Linked DNA regions of Rattus norvegicus. The protein of the gene in region 5 purifies or fractionates together with the protein of the main gene of each other region. This does not show direct contact. Links are inferred from orthologs where the notes say so. Each region holds a gene or a part of one and is shown on either strand. Other genes may lie near its edges.

The links.
Region 1: the proteins of Dpf2 (region 5) and Bcl7a purify together in Homo sapiens (affinity purification with mass spectrometry; 3 studies listed by BioGRID and IntAct, counting the BioPlex papers as one, with this or other methods). This does not show direct contact. The link is inferred for Rattus norvegicus from reciprocal best matches to the Homo sapiens genes DPF2 and BCL7A.
Region 2: the proteins of Dpf2 (region 5) and Smarcb1 purify together in Homo sapiens (affinity purification with mass spectrometry; 11 studies listed by BioGRID and IntAct, counting the BioPlex papers as one, with this or other methods). This does not show direct contact. The link is inferred for Rattus norvegicus from reciprocal best matches to the Homo sapiens genes DPF2 and SMARCB1.
Region 3: the proteins of Dpf2 (region 5) and Arid1a purify together in Homo sapiens (affinity purification with mass spectrometry; 6 studies listed by BioGRID and IntAct, counting the BioPlex papers as one, with this or other methods). This does not show direct contact. The link is inferred for Rattus norvegicus from reciprocal best matches to the Homo sapiens genes DPF2 and ARID1A.
Region 4: the proteins of Dpf2 (region 5) and Smarcd3 purify together in Homo sapiens (affinity purification with mass spectrometry; 3 studies listed by BioGRID and IntAct, counting the BioPlex papers as one, with this or other methods). This does not show direct contact. The link is inferred for Rattus norvegicus from reciprocal best matches to the Homo sapiens genes DPF2 and SMARCD3.

What each region holds. Positions count from the first base shown.
Region 1 is NC_086030.1:38,876,515-38,880,770, forward strand, and holds part of Bcl7a (B-cell CLL/lymphoma 7 protein family member A), read right to left. Parts: intron 1,185-4,256; coding exon 1,063-1,184; intron 1-1,062.
Region 2 is NC_086038.1:12,743,948-12,748,203, reverse strand, and holds part of Smarcb1 (SWI/SNF-related matrix-associated actin-dependent regulator of chromatin subfamily B member 1), read right to left. Parts: intron 3,119-4,256; coding exon 3,007-3,118; coding exon of another isoform or gene 2,980-3,006; intron 1,417-2,979; coding exon 1,287-1,416; intron 1-1,286.
Region 3 is NC_086023.1:151,191,631-151,195,886, forward strand, and holds the end of Arid1a (AT-rich interactive domain-containing protein 1A), read right to left. Parts: intron 3,433-4,256; coding exon 1,705-3,432; 3' UTR 384-1,704; downstream 1-383. UniProt on the Homo sapiens protein: Involved in transcriptional activation and repression of select genes by chromatin remodeling (alteration of DNA-nucleosome topology).
Region 4 is NC_086022.1:11,469,776-11,474,031, reverse strand, and holds the end of Smarcd3 (SWI/SNF-related matrix-associated actin-dependent regulator of chromatin subfamily D member 3), read right to left. Parts: coding exon 4,165-4,256; intron 4,019-4,164; coding exon 3,917-4,018; intron 3,766-3,916; coding exon 3,604-3,765; intron 3,116-3,603; exon of another isoform or gene 2,686-3,115; coding exon 2,588-2,685; exon of another isoform or gene 2,455-2,587; coding exon 2,319-2,454; exon of another isoform or gene 2,018-2,318; coding exon 1,895-2,017; exon of another isoform or gene 1,774-1,894; coding exon 1,672-1,773; exon of another isoform or gene 1,433-1,671; coding exon 1,379-1,432; 3' UTR 1,251-1,378; downstream 1-1,250. Other genes in the region: Chpf2 (chondroitin sulfate glucuronyltransferase precursor), read left to right, coding at 1-1,000. UniProt on the Homo sapiens protein: Involved in transcriptional activation and repression of select genes by chromatin remodeling (alteration of DNA-nucleosome topology).
Region 5 is NC_086019.1:212,617,634-212,622,645, forward strand, and holds part of Dpf2 (zinc finger protein ubi-d4), read right to left. Parts: intron 4,860-5,012; coding exon 4,752-4,859; intron 3,945-4,751; coding exon 3,781-3,944; intron 2,839-3,780; coding exon 2,746-2,838; intron 2,614-2,745; coding exon 2,535-2,613; intron 2,059-2,534; coding exon of another isoform or gene 2,017-2,058; intron 1,055-2,016; coding exon 917-1,054; intron 788-916; coding exon 659-787; intron 514-658; coding exon 401-513; intron 1-400. UniProt on the Homo sapiens protein: Plays an active role in transcriptional regulation by binding modified histones H3 and H4. Is a negative regulator of myeloid differentiation of hematopoietic progenitor cells. Might also have a role in the development and maturation of lymphoid cells.

The DNA of each region.
Region 1 (4,256 bases), on a different chromosome or scaffold from region 5:
GCTCCAGGCACCTGGCTGGGGGCAGAAACTCAGCATTTGTTGAATGGACACACGGACAGCGCTCTGAAGACAGTGGTCATTGGCATAAGATAAAGCCCGTGCCTGGATGGCACCCTACAGTTCCCTTTCTATCCACACCCACCTCCCCTCCATAAGCAAGATCTACCTGCTGTACCTGTTAAGAGTCTGTCCATCTGTCTGAGCTGTCATGACATGGCCCCTCTACAGGTGTCATCCAGCATCCAACCTGAACCTTCTCCTTAAACTGTAAAGCACTGATTGAAACAAGGCTTCTAATATTTGCCCCTCTTACCAATGCTGGGGAGGCCAGGTGACCTGCTCCCCCCAATACATCCTGTTCTATCTGAGCCTTCTCTCCAAGTCTAGTGCCCTTCTCACACCTCTAAGTTAGCACCTCTTCATTATGGTTAGGGTAGAGACGGCTAAAGACCTGGTCCAGCAGGGACACAGGGCCAGACAGACAGATAAGGATGCTCTCTCATTAAGTGTCCCAGGCTGGCTTTGAACTTGCGATCCTACAACCTCAACTCTCTAAGTAGATGAGATTATAGGTGTGCCGGAGCTGGATTTGAACCTGGGCTAGATTCCATTGTGTCTGCCTCCTGCCCCTGGACCTTGGGTTTGCACTGAACAATCCAAGAACGATGTTGATACTTGGTTACAACACAGAAGGGGTCTGAGCAGGGGCTCCATCGCATGCAAAATTCCAAAGAGTAATCCGGCCTTTAGGTTTCTGAGGTTATGTCTTCCTTAACCTTAGGATGTGGGCTCACTGGGATGAGATGTTCTGATGGACCCAAACGCCACACCATCACCAAGCTGAGATTAGAAAGACAAGACTCCACATCCTCTACGCCAGAGGACTCTTGACGCAGGACCACACATCCCTCCCATCACCGTGGTCCCAGGTGGTGTAGGCTTAAACTCTGAGCTGCTGCTCAATGGACGAACAGCGTTCTAACAGTCCAACAGGAAGCAGCATGACTCTCAACGCACCGTGGAGAACCCCAGCCCCACCCACTGAGGCGGGACGGCAGGTACCTGAGAGATTGCCGATGTTTCTGCCGCCAGCCCTGACTCTGCAGATGGCTGCCGTTCCGCTTTCTCTGAGCTGTTCGTTGAGTTTTCCATCGAAGACTGGGAGTTTTGCTCGTCAGAAGCATCTGAGCGAGAAGCAAGACAACAGAAGCTGTTTTCAGACACATGAGAAGCTGCAGCAGATGGGCCAGGTACTAAAAATACCCAGATCTGGGGAGTTTTGTGGCCAGGGGCTTCCAGAGCTCGATTGGACCAAAGCTTGGGAAGTTTCGATGTATCAACTAGCCAGACAGTTATAAGGAGCCAGGCCACAAGTGGGTTCTGTGGGTCTCCGACCCTCTGCCTGGAGAAGGAAGAGGGAGGGCTACTAAGCGCATAATGCTGCCAGTGTCTGGCGCCCTCTGCTGGGCACCAAGCACTACAGCAATCATGGCTGCCACCTGGCTCCGGCGGGGGAAGTCATGGCCGCAGAGACTTCATTGGGCTTTTGAAGAGAACCAGCATTCTCCTAACAGCAGAGGGAGCGGAAAACAAGCGTTCCCAAGAGTTTCTTATTTTTATTTTATGTGGACGGGTGTAGCGCTTGCATGTATGTCTGGGCACCACATGTGTGCCTGTTGCCTGCGTCTGATCTCCTGGAAACGGAGTTACACAGATGGTTCTGAGTCACCGAGCGCTTGCTGGGAACGAAACTTGGGTCCTCTGCAAGGGCAGCCAACGCTCTTAACAGTTGAGAAATCTCTCCAGTCTTTAATTCTTTAAAAAACAACAACAACAACAACTCCCATTTGTTTATTTAGTATATGTGCTTGCAACAGTTCGTATATGGAGGTGAGAGGACCACACGATGGAGTCAGTTCTCTCCTACCATGTGAGTTCTGGTGACTGAACTCAAGTTGGCAGGCACCTTTACCTGATGAGCCATCTCCCCCAGCCCCCTGCCTTTTTCTTTTAAGACGGGTCTCAAATATCCGAGGCCAGCCTCAGACTCTTTTAGAAGCTGAGGATAACCTTGAACTTTGGGGCCTATGGACTCTGCCTCCTGAGTGCTGGGATCCACAGGTGCACACTGCCAAAGCCAGTTTATTTGATGGTGAGGTTCAAACCCAGGGCTTCCGGCATGCCAGCCCTGGGTGAGTTCTCTATCAAATGAACTATATCCCGGGCCCAACTTTTCTCTTAACAATAAGGATGAGTCTAAGTGACTCGAGCAATGGCTAACCACAGAGGAAAACAAAAGCATAGCTACACTCACGTTAACTGATACCTCACACCTCTAAGATGCCAGCATTTTTTTTTTTTTGGTTCTTTTTCGGAGCTGGGGACCGAACCCAGGGCCTTGCGCTTCCTAGGAAAGCGCTCTACCACTGAGCTAAATCCCCAGCCCCTAAGATGCCAGCATTTTAAAGGACTCTGTTCTACCTTTCTAGATTGCTCCCTCATGTGCCTACGGACTTCCTATCTCTCTAAATGGTGACGTCACAGACATCTGCCTATCTTTACAAATCCTCTACACACGAGAGTTTACAACCTGGCTGAACAGCATCATGTGAAGCAATTGTTTATCTGACGATACTAATCGCTTGGGTTACTTGTATGGCCTCAGTTTTCCCTCTTGCCCTTCCTCAAGAACTTACATATGACTGGGTTTTTTTTCTCCCCTCTGTGTAGCCCTAACTAGCCTGGAACTTGCTCTATAGATCAGGCTGTCCTTGAACTCAGAGATCCACCTGTCTCTGCCTCCAGAGTGTTGGGATTAAAGGTAATTGCCACCCCCACCTGTCAAGACCCAGCAATTTTACTTTCTGGTCCAGAGACCAGAATCTTGAATACAAATGCCACACTGTTCACAATGGTGAATTCAGCAGTGGGAACAGCCAGATAGTATTATAATAGATATTACCCAGTCATAAAAAGGAACAAAGGAGTGTCAGGGAGATGGCTCAGGGGTGACAGTACAGCCATGAAAGCCTAAAAACCAGATTTGTTCCCTAGGGGAAAAAACCCATGTGAGCCACAAAAGCCAAAAACCCCAAATTTGTTCCCTAGAACCCGTGTGAAAATCAGGACGGGGTAGCACACGACTGTAATCCCAGCACTCGTGAGATGGGAGGTGAAGACAGGAGACTGGCTAGAAACTTAGGGGCCAGCCACCCTGGAGGATACAGCACAGCAGCGGAAACAGGGCAGAACCTGTCTTGACAAGGTTCTTGAAGCCAAGACACATGATGTTCTTTATGTGAAATGCCTACAACAGGTCAGCGCTCCAGCACGCACACGCGTAAGCACGCACGCACGCACACACGCATGCAGCGGACTGGTCATTATAAGGAAATGGTGAAGGAAGGCAGAGAGGGACTGTACAGTGTGGGCAGTATTTTTTATGGACTGAGGAAAATGTTCTGGAACTACACAGAAATGACAGAATATCCTAGATACCAGTCAAGAGCACTGGCTGCTCTTGCAGAGGACCTGGGTTTGGTTCCCAGGGGCCACAGGGTGGCTCAAAATCATCCGAAATGTCACTTCCAGGGGATCTAACACCTTCTCCTGGCCTTTGAGGCATACACATGGCGCACATATGTGGCTAAGGCAAACACTTATACACATAGCATTTTTTAAGAAGAGAAATGTTAGGGGTTGGGGATTTAGCTCAGTGGTAGAGCGCTTGCCTAGGAAGCGCAAGGCCCTGGGTTCGGTCCCCAGCTCCGAAAAAAAGAACAAAAAAAAAAAAAAAAAAAAAAAGAAGAGAAATGTTAGAGGGCCAGGTACGGCGGCACGCTTTCAATTCTAGCACTCAGGAGGCAGAAGCAGGAGGATCTCAGAGAGTTTCAGGCCAGTAGGGTTACATAGTAATATAGTAATTCCCTTCCTTAAAGAAAATGGAGGGGCGGGGGTGGGGTGGGACAAAAAAAAAAAAGTTGGACATGGAAGCACTTGGGACATAGACATCAGAAGTTCAAGACCAGCCTTTGCTGCTGCTACATGATACTCTGCTTGCAAAGCAGAAAAGAAGGAAGGGGGTGGGCGTGGGGGCCCATGTAACTTTGTATTCTATTTCATAGTGCATTTGTTTGCTTTAACTAACAGTTCAACTAAAAAGTCTGCTTCATTGGTGTCTGCCTCTGCGGGCAGTTTCAGTTTGTTTCCCACACGCACTGGGCACGCACGGGAGGGTTTACCGCTCTCGGGCAGTC
Region 2 (4,256 bases), on a different chromosome or scaffold from region 5:
GTTAGTCCACGCAGGCCTTTAGACCCACACCCTCGTGCATTCACTTTAGAGGTCGGTCTGCGATTAGAGGTGGGGGTCACAGTGACTGCAATGCAGCTCAATGGGAGAGTGTACACACAATTAGCAATGGGGCCCCGAGCTCCATCCTCAGCCTCACCCAGGAGAATAAGATCACGTAGATGACAATCATTCCTGCCATGTTTGTTTCCCTCCCGTATCACTAGATATGCACTGCACTCTAGTTTCTTGTACACTGTGGTCTGGGGTGCAGCTCAGAGATGGAACACAAACTCACGGGGTCCTGGGTTCAGTCACTAGCATCGCTCCAGCTCACCAAACCTACGGGCTTCTCAGTTCACGTCTGAGTCGAGGTGTGGAGACACAGATACAACACAGTACATTTACAGTGATTTGCCATCCATAACAAAAGTTCTGTTCTAGGCTGGAAAGATGGCTAACGGGGTAAATGCACCTGCTTTCCAAGTATGGTGATCGGAGTTTGAGGTCAGCCTGTTTTACAGAGTGAGTTCCAGGATAGTCAGAGCTACACACAGAGACCCTGTCTCGAAAACAAAACCAAAGTTTGGGTGGACCTGAGGATACAGGTCAGTCAGCAGAGCGCTCGCCGAGCAGGTACCAAGTCCTGGGCATAAGCAGGCATGGCGGCATGCACCTGTAATGCAAGCATTCGGGAGGTGGAGGCAGGAGGATTGGAAGTTTAACACCATGCTTAACTACATGGCCAGTTTAAGGCCAGCCTGGGCTACATGAGATGCTTCTCAAAAAAGTTCTTTTAAAGTTCCACATATACACATATCCATACATACATACACATTCATACACTATACACTACATACATACATACATACACATTCATATACTATACACTACATACATACACATTCATACACTATACACTACATACATACATACATACATACACATTCATACACTATACACTATATACATACATACCTACATACATACATTTAAATCTATTGTTTCTTTTGGGAATTTATCTAAGTCACCATTGGTTTTTTTTGATAAATGAATCCCAATTTTGGAATATTACATTTCAGAACCCAAGTCTTGGCCCGTTTCTTCAGAATTCCAAAGATACAGAAGAAACTTAGAAGCCCAGGTCAGGCAATTATGAACTCAGCGAGGAAAGGGTTGAAGGGCAGTTCAGCTCAGCTCAGTTCAGCTCACTTTAGCCTGCTCTTGAGGGTGGGAACGCCCGCCTGCCCGCGCATGTCCCCGGAGCACACTAGGATTAGAAGACGTACCTGAGGTAGGTTGGGGGCTCTGTGCTGATGGACACAGCCTTGTACTTCTCGTCATTGCCGTCCAGAATCTCTTCCACCTCTGAGGCTTTCAGTAGCGTCACGCTGGTGGCCAGGGTGGTGTATCCATGGTCTGTAAGCAGAGAAGCCCCAGTGCGGTCACACTGCTGCAGTGTGATGGCTGCCAACCATCGATACAGCACATGAGGTCCTCACATGCAGGAGGCGGGAAGCGAGGTGTCAAACTCTACTGCTGAGTGCCAGCCTCTTCCAAAAGGGCGAGCAGCCTGAGGCTTGGCCTAGACATTAGAGAGGAGGAAGCCTCGGCAGGATGGATTTGAGGAATTCACCTCCTAAGAGCATTGGCTCGGAGGCAGAGATGTCCGGGGCAGCTGCAGCTCAGGGGCTGCCAGGAAGCTGCCGGACAACACCCCAGTGGGAAGAGGTCTGACACTGCCACAATCTAAACACAAAGCAAGGACGAGACAGATGAAAGATGACGACTTTTCTTTTAAAACAAGAGCCCAGAGAGTTGGAAAGAAGTGTTCGCCTCAAGCAGGAGTTACCATGCCTGAGCCAGTGCAGATGTGCTGTCTGGAAACCAAGACAGACTTCATCCAACGTGAGTCCAGCTCTTCTAGGGGCCTTTGTCAAGAGCTGCCAGTTATCTGCAGGACCTGCTCAGCTTCACAGGAGGAATCTCTCAACCACAGGGAGGGAAGGAAGGAAGGAGCACAGCAGAAAGACCAGTGCGACTTCATAGGAACTCAAGGAAGGGCAGGCAGAGCTAGGCAGGCACCATGCTAGTGACCGTCCTCCACTTGTGGCCCAAGGGATACAAACGAAACTGTTTTAGGCAACAGTGGGTCTGTTTTAGTAGTGAACAAAAGCAGCTCTGGCTCCTGCAGTAAAAGAACCCCAATTTACCACAACAGACAAAACTACATCAGCACCTACAGACGAGACAGACGACAGAGTGCTGGGGAGCACGCATGCTTGCATGCACGCACACATGCACCCAGGCCCAGGGCAGCTCTCTACAGGGTGCCTCTGCTGAGTGGAGAGCAGTTTTGCCACCTGCCAGATGGCATGCTGCAGCCACACCCAAGCCCATAATCTAGAGGCGCCAAGACTACGAAGAGCATGTGTCATGCTGAAGAGCTGCCACAGCCCAGAGCTTGCCCTAGGTTTGCTGGCATCAGATGGCTCACCTGGCAAGCCCCAGGCACAGGGCGGGCCACGGAATGGGTACATGCACGTGAGCTCAGCACGCCGGTTGTCAACATGAAGTAGTACAGACAGATGTGCTGTGGGAGGGAAGCGGTGACAGCCCCAGAGGAGAGAGGGCTGGGGCCACCGTCTACGGCCGCAAGGATGACTACAGCGACACACTCAGCAAATGGTAGCAAATCTCAGCATTCCTAAAACGTTTTGAGACCAACATGTCTTCACAGCACCTGCTACTGCCCTGGCCCAGCCCCTCACAGACCCGCTGGCCCAGCCAGGAACACACAACAGGGGAGTATGAGCCACTCTCTCCTGAGGCCCGTGTGCACTGGCAGGGTGGCCCGCCCCGGGATGCTCCCTACCGAACTGAGGTCAGGCTGCAATGAAGACACTGGAGTGAAAACGTTTTATCTCCGTGACATAAGCGAGTGGTTTTGAAACAGGTTTACAAACCCTCGTGAAGACGCACCCTTAGTGTTAGGTTTTGTTTTTTTACCATGTGACGATGCCACTATTTTCTTCCTTTCTTCCACAGTGGCTAGTCGCCGCCAGAGTGAGGGGTATCTCTTGTACAGAGAACCTCGGAACATACGCAGGTAGTTTCCCACCTATGGGTAAAGCAAGAAGGCTCATTATGAGGGTCGGGCTACCTACCACCATGCCGAGACAATGCCTCCAGACGCCGGGCTTTCAGGAGTCAGCAAACACATTCTGCTGACATCAAGGGTTCAACAGCAGTGCACATCTGGCTGGCATCTGTGTCTCCTGATCCCAGAGCTTAGTAAGAAGCTTATGATTTTGACCTGACTAGAGATGTTGGCACTTTTCTGAAATCTAAGACTCCTGTGACCTTCTTTCATCTTAAGAAGCGACTTTGATATTTTTACAAGGCAATAAACACCAAAAAGTTTTTAATTTTAGACAGATGTGAGATAATTTGTCCTGTTGCCTATGTTGCTTTGTTTAGTAATAAAACTCAAAACAGAGATGCCAAAGAATTTTCTAGAGTCTAAAAAAAGTACTGTATTAGTAATCCCTAGCCTAGCCTATAAATCACTACTTCCCCAGTAACAGCCTCAGTCTGTTTGTAGCAATACAGTAAGCACGGCCCCTGATTAGACGGAGGCCTATGACTGTTTTTAAGATGCTCTACGGTCTCACTGACTTCAGAAATGCTATCTTCAGAGTCACACTGTGGGGACAACCAATAGACGGGTGTGAGGTGTTCACTCTGGCAGTGAGTCTAGGCCTCTCTGTTCACCCATCGAGTGCTTAACGACCCTGACTTTTCCCCTAAGAGATTCTCACTATGCAGCCCTGGCTGGCCTGGAACTCACTATGTAGACAAGGCTGGCCTTGAACTCAGGATGGGCTGGCCTGCCTCTGCCCACTGAGTCCTGGGATTAAAGGTGTGCACGGCCACACCAGGCCCTCAAGTCTGGATTCTGCTTCAGAAAGGAACAGTTCTATTATTCTTTTCATCGTATCTACCTAGCATAGTGTACATTTATGAAGTGAAGGTAGTTTCTGCACTTTTCTTCCAGAAGAGATTTATGTAACCCACAGCTAGAGTGCTGAGACCAAGAGTCTATACGCAGAACAGCAAAGACTCCTGGCTGCTGTTTGGTTTGTGGGTCACTATCACCCAAAGGTAAAAGGATGGTTTCCATTCACTTTTAGAAAAAAGTTAGCGATATTGTCGATCTTTTTCCCTAGAGTCTCACTGCATAGCCCTGGCTGGCCTGG
Region 3 (4,256 bases), on a different chromosome or scaffold from region 5:
TGGGGCCCACAGAGGTCAGATCATGCTACATCTGTGGGTCCTGGACCACCCCTTGACCTAAGGTTGTAAGCTACAAAGCGAGTGCTGAGAATTGAGCCTATGTAAAAGCAAGTGTTCTTAATTACTAAGCCATCTCTTAAATCCTGGTTAAAGATTTATTAGTTTTGTGTGTGTGTGTGTGTGTGTGTGTGTGTGTGTGTGCGCGCGCGCGCTCGCGCGCTCGCACGCATCATTAGAGGGGTCAGATCCCATGGATTTGGACAGGAGGCTGTCATCCACCAAACATGGGTTTTCCTAAAACTGCCAAGCTAGCTATCTTTCCAGCCACAGGTAAAGCTTTTTAAAATAATTTGAAAAAAAAAAAAAAAAAAAAAAGCCTCACAAAAGTCTTACCAAGATTTAATGTACATTTATTCTTAACACGTGGAACATATAGTATAAAGATTTCATACTGAATAAATGATATTCATTAAGCCAAAAAAGGAAAAAAAGGAGGAATTTACATCAAGTTTTTAGCTACATTGTTGAAATACAAATATGCAGATTTTATCACTGAAAAATCTCAATTGTGTTTCTTCATCAGCAACTTCAACTGAACCTAGAACCTTTTCACACCTCGATTAGAAAGGAAACAAAACAAAACAAAAACCCAGAAAAAAAATAAACTGTAAGTTGATTGGCTGCCGAGACAGCAAGGACTTTTTACAGAGACCTGTAGAGCATCGCACCAAGAGGGCGACGTCTGGCAAGAGATTAAATAGCTGTGTCTCGCTTTGTGCAGGTCACCAACTTGTTAACTCGCCATACTATAAAGGGGTAGCTGGGAAGGGAACCAAACTGTGGAGATTCAAGGGTATGTGCAATGTACAACATCATATATATACACACGTGGCAGCGCGGCCGCTGCGGCTAAGGTTAAAACCAGGTCTAAGAGGTGATCTCAGGGTTATTCATACAATCAAGGAGGAGAGAAAGAGGTCAGGGTGTTGTAGGTTCACACATGATACTTTGGGGGAAAAGCCTTTTTTTTTCTCCTCAACATTTAACTAAAAACATTTTTAAAAACTACAGCTTGCTGCTGACCCAGCGTCTTCTCTCGTTTCCGTGTGAGACATTATTATTACAGTATGTTTACAGTATCAGGTGTCCAGTACAGTACATGGAAGGACCTACACTCTACTGCACGGGCCTCGCCAGTGAACAGGGCTGCTCACGACTGCCACCTTCGCGGCTCCTTGCGAGATCGTGAATGGACAGCAACAAAACCACACAGCTCAGCAGTCACCTTTGTCCTTCAGGGTTTTTTTGTATTTTTTTTTCCTTTTTTTTTTTTAACCATTAAAAACAGTTATGAAATGTGGCATCCCGTTGATGCAAGGACCGGGAAAGCCATTTTTTTTTTCCCCAAACTCACTGTAAACAACAGTAACTTTGGTTAAAATAAAAAAGTCTTCTATGTAGGCAGAGCTTTGTCTTTCAACAGGGTGGGTCCTGAGGGAAGCAGGTGAGGGTGAGGAACAGAAAGGTGTGAGGGAGTGAGGGTGGGGAGGAAGAGAAACAGGAGAGGCTTTCCCAAGGGAGAAGCTGGACAGCACAGGGTAAACTGGATTCTGAGGTGGTTTTGCATAAATAAAGGGCAACAGTCAGTTTCTAAGTTCTCCACACACTCACACACACACGGGGAGGGGAGGTGCCCCACGGCTGTCATGACTGGCCAATCAAAAACAGTACATCGCAAATGACTTGTGAAACCAGTGAGTTCATCAGTGGTGACACGGAGATGTCCAACAGCCGTGACTCGTACAGAGTGAACTCTGAGTGGTTCTCGTCCACCTTGGCCAGGGCGAGTAGCGCTCGGGCAGCCCGCCGCATCATGTCCACACTAGTTGGTTCAAAGGGTGGGCTCTGCATATGGAGGAGGCTGGCCTGGCTCTGCTGGAACTGGGTGGCAGCAAGGCTGTCCTCCAGAAAACCCAGGAGGTTGCCGATGCTGCCCTTCTGCACCGCAATGGCCCGGGCTGCCAGGCTGTCCCCCTGTGCCAGATTTGCCAGCAGTACCACGGCCATCTCCCGGCACACTGGGTTCTTTCGGTCACTGAGGAAGCGCACCATGGTACTATACAACTTCTCCAGGCGGCTAAAAGGGGGCGTGGCCAGTATCAGGTCCACATTGTTGTCCTGGATGCTGAGTTTGCTGAGGGTTTCCAAGACCAATCTCTGAGGAGAGAGGACGGCATTGGGGCCTAGGGTTGAGAAGGGGTCCTGGGCTTCAGCTGAAGGGCAAACTGCCCAGTGTAGGAGTCCATCCAGGACAGGCAGGCAGATGCTCTCAGGGTATGGGGATAGGTCCAATTGCCCCGAGATGTTGGCAAGGGTGACCAGAGTGTTTTCCCGGAGCATCTCCAAGCAGTCCCACCACCATTCCACTTTGTCACAGCTCACCCCTTGGTCCTGTTCCTCCTCCTTCTCATAAGTCAGTGGCGCCTGCTTCCGTTCTGGGTGCTTATGGTGCAGGAGGATCAGCTTGCCCAGGATAAGCAGCAGCCCTGGGTGTTTGGACATCTCAAAGTCGTTGCCTGGCACAAATGACAGGCTCCGGATGGCATTAGAGACACAGACACAGCGCTTAGCAAGGGAATCCTGCCAGTCCAGAAGGGTACACAGTGGGGTCTCATCCTTACTATGGGGTTCGTCCTCTAAAATCTTGATGTTCCGGTGGCTCTGTGCTGGGCTAATGCCAAATGGAAACTTGCTGCTTTCCTTGTTGGCCTCTGTACTCTTTGTTCCCTCGTCAGTCAATGTGCTAGACCGGGTGGACAGCATGTCATCCATAGTGGCTGTGATCCTTTTTTCTGGAAGGCCATCAGGCGGGGGACCCTCCTGCTCCGTTGTCCCTGGTGTACCCTCTACTGTTGTGACGTGTTTCCGAGGGGGCACTGGGGAGGGCACACAAGGCCGGGAAGGCAGCAGCTCTATCTTGCTCTCAAAGTGGGTCTGGATGTGCTCAGTGGTATCCCCACCACCAATCCGCCAGTGCAGCAGGCCACTGTCAAACTCCTGCACGCGCCCAAGCTTATCTGAGCAGTCCACCACAAACGGGTCATTCTTCTGCACGATCTTTACCGGGAGCTTGTCAAACTTACTGACTAGCTTCTCCTCACTCTTCTCTGAAGGTGGCTTGTCCTTGCCCAAAAAGGCCATTTCCTCATCATTTTCAACCCCTTCCTCCTCTTCCTCCTCCAGCTTGGGATCTACGTGTTCCTCTTCCTCTTCTTCCTCTGTGGGGGCCGGACTAGACACCTTGGTCAATCTCCCAGGGTCTAGCAGTGTTCTTTGTCCTGGGTCCCCTACCTCATACTCCTTTAAAATGCCAAAGATTTCAATCAGGCATCGACGGAAATATTCAACAAGGAGCTCTAGCAACCCTGGGAGCTGAAAGAGAGAAAAGGAAATAAAGAAAGGGAAGAATTCTTGACATGAGTCCCCAAGACCTTATCCAATTCCTTCCTTCCTTCCCTCCCAGTTTGACATAGTTTTCTCACGCAGGAGGCAATGAAGTTCCTATTCTAAAGGCATCTCCATCAATGAGTCTTAAAAAAAAAAAAAAAAAAAAGACATCTCCAGCACACTGCTTTCACTTCTCTCGAACCATTTCCTTCCCAAAGGAACGAAGTTTTCTTTGACCCAAACAACAGTTACATAAGTCTGCCTCCAGCGAGCGAGAGATGTGAGCTACATAGTCTATACCTCACCGATCAGTAACAACCAATGCTTCTAACACTTCTTCCTGAATGTACCCCCTTTCCCAGCATGACCTAGGAAAGGGAATGCACTGTCAACAGATGTTCATCTATTCTCCACTAGTTTCTAGTCACATTTCCTTTTGCCTGAATTCCATCCATCCACCTGATTATTAGAATTGTAAGGATCTTGTTTTTACTGCTGCCTTTCACAGAAATGACCTATATGAAATGGTGATAAAATCCTAAGCATTATAAAGTTGGTCCCGGCATATGGAAATGAACAATTTACCCCTTACTCTCTCGTGGACAAGACGTTATGGAACAGTAATAGTCCTGCTCTGAGCAGCTATGGTGAATCACAAGTGTAATCTGAGGGTTTTGGAGACCAAGGCAGGTCTGTTTGCCTTGACTTCAAGGCCAGTTCGAGATAATGAGTCCCAGACTAGCCTGAACTATAATGTGGCGCCCTTAATCAAAAAGCAGAAACTAAAGAAAGGTAAGCTTTATAATCAG
Region 4 (4,256 bases), on a different chromosome or scaffold from region 5:
TGCGAGGGGCATGGAGTACACCCTGGACTTGCTGCTGGAAGCCGTGACTCAACGAGGGCATCGACGCTCCCTGGCCCGCAGAGTGAGCCTGCTGAGGCCACTGAGCAAAGTGGAAATCCTGCCTATGCCCTATGTCACTGAGGCTACCCGGGTGCAGCTGGTGTTGCCGATCCTGGTGGCCGAAGCTCCGGCTGCCCTGGCTTTTCTTGAAGCCTTTGCTGCCAGTGTTCTGGAGCCTCGAGAACATGCATTGCTCACCCTGTTGTTGGTCTATGGGCCCCGGGAAGGCCGCGGGGGCCCTGACCCATTTCTTGGAGTGAAGGCTGCAGCAGCTGAGTTAGAACGACGGTACCCCGGGACGAGGCTGGCCTGGCTTGCTGTTCGAGCGGAGGCCCCTTCCCAGGTGCGACTCATGGATGTCATCTCCAAGAAACACCCCGTGGACACGCTTTTCTTCCTTACCACTGTGTGGACAAGACCTGGGTCGGAAGTCCTCAACCGCTGCCGTATGAATGCAATCTCGGGCTGGCAGGCCTTCTTTCCGGTCCACTTTCAGGAGTTCAACCCCGTTCTGTCACCACAGAGATCTCCCCCAGGTGTCCCTGGGGCTGGCCCTGACCCCCCATCCCCTGGTGTGGACCCTTCTCGGGGAGCTCCAGTCGGGGGCAGATTTGACCGGCAGGCATCAGCAGAGGGCTGCTTCTACAACGCTGACTACCTGGCAGCCCGGGCCCGGCTGGCTGGTGAACTGGCAGGCCAGGAAGAGGAGGAAGCCCTGGAGGGGCTGGAGGTGATGGATGTTTTCCTCCGGTTCTCAGGGCTCCACCTCTTTCGAGCCGTAGAGCCAGGGCTGGTACAGAAGTTCTCCCTGAGGGACTGCAGCCCCCGGCTCAGTGAGGAACTGTACCACCGTTGTCGCCTCAGCAACTTGGAGGGGCTGGGTGCCCGTACCCAGCTAGCTATGGCTCTGTTTGAGCAGGAGCAGGCCAACAGCACTTAGCTTCTCCACCCCTGGGTCTGCCATAGCCCCAGGAAGGGCAAGGCAAGGCAATGGACAGATGGAGGGCTTGCCGCTGTATTTTTTTAAAAATAAGAAATGTTATTAAAAGTATCTTCTGCCAAACTGTTTTTAGGTCTAGGGAGAGGGCTAAGAAGAATCTGTAGGAGGGTCATGGAGAGTTTGTCTGCCAGGTTCCACTGCCTTCCCCTCTCTTCTTCCCTCCCATCCCAATCCACAATGACCACAAGGCTGCTGTCTGATGAGTGACCTTTAATCCAGCCCTCCCCAACCCCAGCACAGCACGGGAGAGGGAGTCCAGAGCCCAGGGTCCATGCTGGGCAGCGAGGCTGGTCCACAGTGATGCGTGTTCACAGGCTCCTAGGTGTTGCGCACAACTAGTGACTGCTCCAGCTCCTGCCTGCGCTGCTGGATCTTTAGAGGAAGCGTGAGCAGGGGCAGGGTTACAATGACCCTGGTGAGTGACCAGGGGCACCCCCTCCTGGCACCCCTTCCCTGGAAGAGTCTGGGAGCCAGGAGACTACTGCATGGGGGTGTAGGGTGGTGGACAGGCGTTGGGCATAGGCAGCAGCAAAGACTGTTGCCAGGTGAGAGGCAAGGCCTCTCTTAGGACTGAAGGAGAAGGAAGCCTCATGTTCCAGGGCCTCCATTACCTTACAGTAGAAGTAGCGGCTGACAGCTTCCTGGGACCAGGGCTGGTGGTAGAACTCAGCCCGGCGCTCTTCCTCGGGGTTACCGGCCACATCTGTCATCACCTGGGAGGGAGCACGGGGCCTGCGGTGAGTTCCAAGTGCCTCACCTGCCCGAGTTGCATGCTCCTCTTCCCCTCCCTGTGTGCTTGTCTTCACATCAGTGACCCCTGAGCCCCGTCTTCACCTTGAGATCACGGCTCTGGGAGCGGAGCAGGTCTTGGACGTAGCCTTTGGGGTCTCTGGAGAAACTTAGCATGAAGTCCCTCTGGATCTTGAGCTGATTTATGGACTCAATGGTCTCATGGATCTACAGGTAGAAAGACAATGATCTCCCCTGGCCCTCCCCTGATGTGGGGGAGGAATGCAAGAGGAAGGAGGAGGCAGGGGGGACTAGCTTCTCTTGTGAAGGGCAGTTTCCCAGAGCCCTTGCTCTCTCTGAGTTCAGTGAGGGGAGCGGGGTGGGCAGAGCTGAACTTGGAGTGAAGTCAGCTTCTCGATAGCAGGGAGGGGCTGTGTGTGCCTCGTGTCCCAGGGCCATGCTGTGGTCTGAGTGCTTTGTCCTCTCTCTCGGTTTAACATCCCACTCTATCTCTGGGTTCAGGCCGCACCTTACTGTCCAGAGCACTGATCTCCTGCTGGTTGGCGGTGGACAGGAGAAAGCTGCTCATCTGCCCCTTCAGTGGTTCCTCCACCTCCACATCAATGTCATAGCACGCGGTCTTCTTCTGGTCTGATGGGTCCACGCTGCCAGAGAAGCCCAGCCTTTGATGTCCATGGTATACCCCCACGGAAGCCCAGGGCTGGGGAGGGGACACAGGGAGGGGAGCAGGGAGGGGAGCAGAGAGCTCCCTCTGTGGGGAAGGCTGGGCCACCTCACCTGATGACATGGTTGATCACAATGGGGTCAGGAGGAAGCAGCAGGCCTGTGAGACGCTGGGGAATCTCAGAAAACTTCAGGCGGGGACAGTCAAAAATCTGAAGCAGGAGAGTTGAGAGGGAGATCATTCGTGTGTGTGTGTGTGTGTGTGTGTGTGTGTGTGTGTGTGTGTGTGTAAAGACAGTAGCTAATAATAGTCCTTCCATTCTGGAAAGACCACAAGAAGCTGAGGGCAAGTCAGAATTCTGGGCGCTGATGGCTGTGGGCTGGGCTGGAGGTAGAGAAGCAGGATAATTAGGGGGCCAGTGTGGGGTCCTAAGTCAGCCTGCTTGAGCGTTTGTCCCTTCTGCCACATCCTGTGAGAAGTTACCTAGCACCTTGGGTCTTAGTGCCTTCACTTCCAGAATAGGGATATTACCAACCCCATCTCATGGGTGGTTATGAGAACCGGGTGAATCTGCAGAGCAGGAAGTGTCTGAAGTGGTACATGGTAAATGCTCAATAAACACCAGCTACTCTTTCTCCTCAGACTCCTCTACTGTGCTTATTTTAAAACATATTAATAGCAATGCTCTACTCTGCTAGACCTGTCGGGTCAGCTTTCAGCAATGTCGTTTTTCCTAGCTGCCAAACACATGTGATGGCACACCTCCCACCACCCCTCATTTCAGAAGCAGACCAAGAGGCAGAAGGGATAGCAAAGTAAGTGACCCCAAGTCTAGACCCAAGACTGGCGGCACCTCAGAGATCCCAGCTCCAAGTACCAAGAAGGTTACATTGCAGGATGCTGTGCCCTCCCCTCCCCTAGTAGGGCCCCACATTTGCTTCCCTTGGGGTGCAGCTGAATAGATCATCCAGGAAGAGCCTGGACAAGACCCTGTTCTTGGCTCCAAGGCCATGGCCCTAACCATTCCTGTTATTCAGGAACTCAGCAAAAGGAGATAGCTACCTTAGGGAGGTGCTTCTGCTAGGATACCATCCCTGATCCCCAGATCCTGAGGCTAAGGACATGTTACCTGCTGGAAATACTTGTCTCCATTGATGTATTCCTTGTCATGGGAGTCCTGTAGCCTGTTGGTCTTCACGTACTGCCACAGTGCCTGGACAATGGCTGAGCGGCTCTGCGTATGCAACCCCAGCAGCCGGGCCAAGCGGGGGTCCAGTTTGAACTGGGGAGGCTGGGAAAAGGTTACCAGGAAAATGAGATTGAGGGGAGAAATAGAGAATGGGGCGTGGAGGTTAGGGTCCTTGGCAGCATGCCCCTAGAGAAAGTGAGTAGGAAGGAGAGTAGGGTCTGTGTGTGGCATGCAGGCACGGAGTAAAACCAACCTGATAGTCCAGCATCAGGAGCAGGGTACAGCGCACACTCAAGTCCCCTGGTCTCTTCACTTGGAACCCATCTGTCTCCTGGGTTGTGGGTGTCCGGTGCCACTGTCCAGGGGGAAGAGCTAGGTCACCCACAGACTCATCTGGGTTGGTAGAGCCTAGGGCTTTAGGATGGTCCTCAATCCAAATCTGCAGCTGCTCCAGGGCTGATGGGAAGGTTGTGATTCACGGGCAGCGGCAATCTGTCTTACCTCAACAAGGTGGTTGTCTGGGCCATAAAGGTCTTTGTCCAACTCAATGACCAAACTCTTGAAGAAGGAAGAAAACTTCCTCTTCTGCTTAC
Region 5 (5,012 bases):
GGTCTAGTGGGTAACAATGGCCTCACTACAGCCAGCTTGCCCACCATAAGGCCTCTGCACTAGCCATACTTTCTGGGACTGGATCCTTGTAATGTCCAAACTCCAATACCAACCTCACTTCCTCCAGAAGCAAACACAACTACAAACCTCTCTCAGCATCCAGTTACCTCTTGGCACATCACTAGTTTAATTTTCCTCAAGGTGTATCATACAAAACTCTGTTCCCCCAAGTATCGAAATTCTATCAAAGTATAAACTTCTCTGTTCTTTGTTTACCGACCCAAGAGCTAAGAACACTGTCTCGCCCAAGAAACAAGATTTTTTTTTTTAAACAAGTATAAAGTTCCCTGGGGAGAGTTAGGGAGGAACGGGTGCGCTCTGACAGAAAGCGGGCACGCACGTCGTTCTCTGAAGTGCCGCAGAGGTTGCAGCACTTGCACTCGATGCACTGCCAGCGGTAGGTCTTCACGGCTGCCATCATCACAGGGGTGAACTGCAGGCAGGACGGATGCCCTGTGGAGGAAGGGAGTCAGACAGTGGGCTGGAGACCAGAGCGTGAGTGGGTAAGGGAGGCTGCCTGACTATAAAAGCACTCAAGGAAGCAGGCCAGGAGGGTTGTGGGTACCGAGTACACCCTGCTTTTTGAGGATGGAGGTACCTGAGCGGCCACAGTCAGAACAGGACACCAGCTCCTCAGGCTGCCCTGTCTTCTTGTTGATTTTTGAGTCTCCCAGGCAGAAGTCACAGTAGTTGTTAGGCAGGGCCAACCCATCAGGTCCTTTCTTGGCTACAGAAAAAGAAAAAGACTCTGATGATGGTCAAGGGAGCTCTGGGTTACCCTACATTCTCTAGACGGAGGATTTTTATAAACAAGCTGGTTCCTCTCCTGATTGCCTGCCCCGACAGCTCAGCTTACATTTCTGCTCCTCAGACCTCTGGGACACAGGAGTGGGTGGTTGGGAGTCTTCTTTGTCCTCTCCTTCCTCTTCAGCCAGGTGGGAATGGGCATAGTGGTAACTGAGGCCAGGTCGGTTCTTGTAACGTTTTCCACAAACTGGGTGGGAAAAAGATTGCAGAGAAATATTAGGACACAAAGGTGCTACTTTCCCACTGTGACAAGTTATGAAGCTCCAAATGAGGCCCAAGGGAAACCTCTGCCCCAGTGTCCCTACTCTGGCACAAGCTTTAGTGACAGTCCCTTCCCTTTAGCCAAGAGCATCAAGCCCTGGGCCTCTTTAATTTCTGGGACTCTCTTCCCTCTCTAAAACACAGACCCATAGCTACCAACATTTTTCCATGCTGGCTTCTAGAAGGACTTAGCCTCTGCTGCATCAACTTGCCCAAGAAATAGTAACGTCTGGGAGCTCCAGGTCGGGAATGTTCTACAGTGTAGCCTTATGGCAAAAAGGGGGATGTGATGAGGAGAGACCAGGCTCTTTTTCTGCTATGTAGATGTGTCAGGCTCATGCCACCCTGTGCATGCCAATCTCAGCTGAACAGACAAAGGGCTGAGGGTGGGTCTCCTGGTGAGCACCTACTAACTGCCAGCCAGGATAATTTCCCGCAAAGAAACTGAAATATATTCCCACACTAGTGCCCTGCCCAGCCCCTGCCAACCAACAAGGAAAGATTACATGGCATTTTATCTTGAGCAATGACACCAAGAGGAGCAAGGAGGCCAGCAGGAAGGAATGGGAGGATGGGAGGAGGTGGTGGTGTTGATGGTGGAAATGTGAGCTGACTGCCTGTTGTCTGGTTTGGGGAACATCGGATGAATCTATCCATAATGGGTTTCTGTTAACACTAGGCCAAGTGGCCATAGGAGGCAGTCTGTGATGCAATGGTAAAGACAGCTGCTAGGACTGAGAATGGAGCACAACCCGGGTACCACAGCACTACCCTCATACCGTTGCAGATTCCAAAGCTAGTATCACAGGAAATGAGAAAGGTAGGAGGAACAAGGGAAGAGGGGAAAGGGATAGGAAAACCACAAGTCTGAAAAGTTGAGAGAGCTACCTCTCTGGGGCGCTTTCGAGGTATGCTTTTGTTTGAAACTATCTGAAAGACAGAAAGAAAAGTCGTGAGAAGAAGGCCTTGATACATTTGAGACAGGGCAGCAGCAGCAGGAAAACAGAGCAAGTGAGAGAGAACCCCAGCAGTGGCACTTCAGGCTGGAGGCACGGAAGTAGGGTAAGCCAAAGCAAAGGGAGAGAGGACAGACACTAACCCTCAGGGCTGGCCGGCCCCTGAGCCCTGCCCTGATGGGTCAGCAGATCTAGATGCTGCCCACTATGAGGCCAACACTGCCTGCTTTGAGTTCCCTCATTCTCCCACCCCAGGACCCACAGAAATCTCTCCCCAGAGCATGCAGGTCCCACCCACTATGAAGCGAAGGCCAGGTTGGCAGGCAGGACAAGAACCCAGGCTTGTTTTACCACTCAGTGCAAGAACATGACCTCCCCCCCCCCCCCCCCATATCCAGAGCAGGAGCTGGGTCTGAGGCAAGAACTACCCACCCCTAAGGTGGCACTCACTGTCACAGGCATAGGGCTTATCCCGGTCCTCCAGGATGGAAGCGTCCAGCTTCTTCCGGGCACTGCTCACACCCTTACTCTGCCAAGAAAACCAAAAAGATGATGCCCTCACTAACACTAAGCGGTCTTGGCCAGAAGAGCAAGGCAGAAAGCAAGAAATGTCATAAGATTGGCCTCCACAGACCAGCCTACTTCATTATTCCCTCCTCACCTTGGATTTCCCCTTTCCCCGACGCTTTGGAGTATCTTCTTCATAGTCCTCGTCATCAAGGTCGTCTAGGAAGTCATCGGGTTCAAGGATCCGCTGAGTGGAGCAGGAGATTGGAATGAGCAGAAGTCAAGCACATCCCAAAGCACCCTCACAAGATAGAATTAGCCCCCTGGAACTACCCAGAAGCCTCTCTGAGGCTTAATCCACAATCATTCTTCACCCTGCAATCCCATCACTGCTTCCCCAAATGCTTTCTTTTCCCTGTGCCTCTTCAAGTTGCTCCCCTAGCCTAGAATGTCTGTCCTCCATCTCTCAGGAGCCAAACACTGTTTCCATAAAGCTCTCCTGGCACCCCAGGCAGCCTCGTCCTGTTCTGCCTGCTCTGCTTCCAAAATGCATGTCCTACTTTAAATAAGGTTTTCTGCTTACTTGACCTTGGGAAGTTTTAACCGCTTTGATTCTGCCTCCCTGTCAATGAAATGGGAACCACAGGACCTACCTCATGAGGCTGCACAAGAGGAAGCATATGGGGAATACTTAGCAGCGTACCTGGCTCATCTGTAGCTCTTCTCATCTTTAAGCTTAGCATTAACTTCCCAGTTGACAGGTGGGAACCAAGTGTGCTTCACCTATGTCACAGCAGGTATCTAAGTCTCTAATAGTCAGTCTTGCCTTGTGTGAGAGAGAATGAGTGTGTGAGCCTGTGCTGGGAAGGAGTGTGGAAGGCTAGATGGAGCCAGGCTGGGGCTGGCAGAGCCCAGGACTGCAGGGCAGCCTCCGCCTCCATTTCGGCTATTTTTGTTTTTTGTGTTAGGGCTTACACATCAACAGGCATGTATTCTACCATGATCTGCTTCAGTTCTACTAATTGGACCAAAAATTGGCTCAGAGGTTAAGAGCACGGATTGCTCTTCCAGAGGTCCTGAGTTCAATTCCCAGCAGCACTTGGTGGCACACGATTAGTGGTCCAATTAGTAGACCCAAAAGAGGCTGATCCTTATTAAAGTCCTTTAGCCATAGATAGGAACGACATACCTTCCGTGCTCGACTGTTGGTAACAGGAAACTCGCCCAGGCTGTCATCATCAACTCGGGGATCTGGGGCACCCCGTTTCTCCAGGGGATCAGTACGCAGCAGAGCCTCTAAACTGCTGCCATCCTGGGAGATAAGGCCCTCTTTCTTCAGAGTCTGGTCCGTGTCTGCAACAAGTCAAGATGAAGCTAACTCAGAAGGGCTGAAGCTGAATCTACACCACGAGGGGCCAAGTCAAACCCAGCCACTTCTGTTCTCCAGGAACCGAGATGTATCTGTTCAGCCGGCACTGGAATAAGCTGCATTACCTGTTTTCACTAACAGTGGGCTCCCTGAAGGACAGAAGCAAAGTATGTGCAAGCTCAACAGAGCCTGGGGAGAGCCGGCAATCAGCAAGCCTCCCCTCATACAGACCATGGCCTTCCTGAGAAGGGAGCCCCTTACTTGGTTTATTTACTCTGGATTATTTTAGTCATGACATATAAGACATAATCATATATGTCTATATGGCGCATGAACACATGTGGCTACACATGTTGGGAGGACACTGGGGGCTCTGCCTTATTGCCTTGGAGTCTCTCACTGAATTAGATTGGTAGCTAGAAGCGCCAGCTCTGTACTCAGAGTTTTGGGATTACAGGAACATGTTGGCCTTGGCCACACTGAGCTTTGTATAAATGCTAGACTAGAATTTAGGTCCTTGTGTTCACACAAGCACTGGGACTTCTCTCCAACCCATATCATTTTGAGGGAATTTCATGGTTTTTGAGGCTCTCATGTAGTCCAGGCTGGTCTCAGACTCTCTATTAGTAGAGAATGACCCTGAATTTCTAATCCTCCTGCCCCAACCTCCTCAATGGTATTGTTATATAGGAATATACAACCATGTTCAGTTTATGCAAAGCAGGATATTAAACCCAGGGCCCAGTGTATGCTGGGTGACACTCTAGCAACTGAGCTACCCCAGCCTCTACCTGGCTTAATAGACGGGAAAGAAAGCCTGGGATCCTCAGGTGGGTGGGCTCGACGCTTTTTTCGCCAGCGTCGGGCAGGGTAGGAGTACAACTGTCCAGAGGCCAATCCTGTGGAAGGAAGGAAGGGAAGGAAGAACTATTAAGCCCTAATCCAGCCTAAAAACAACGGCAAACATCTTGTAGATGAGAACTTTATTGAGTTCTAGAGCAAGGGTACAGAACATGTGAGCCTGGGCCGGGTGGGGATACTTCATGGTAAAG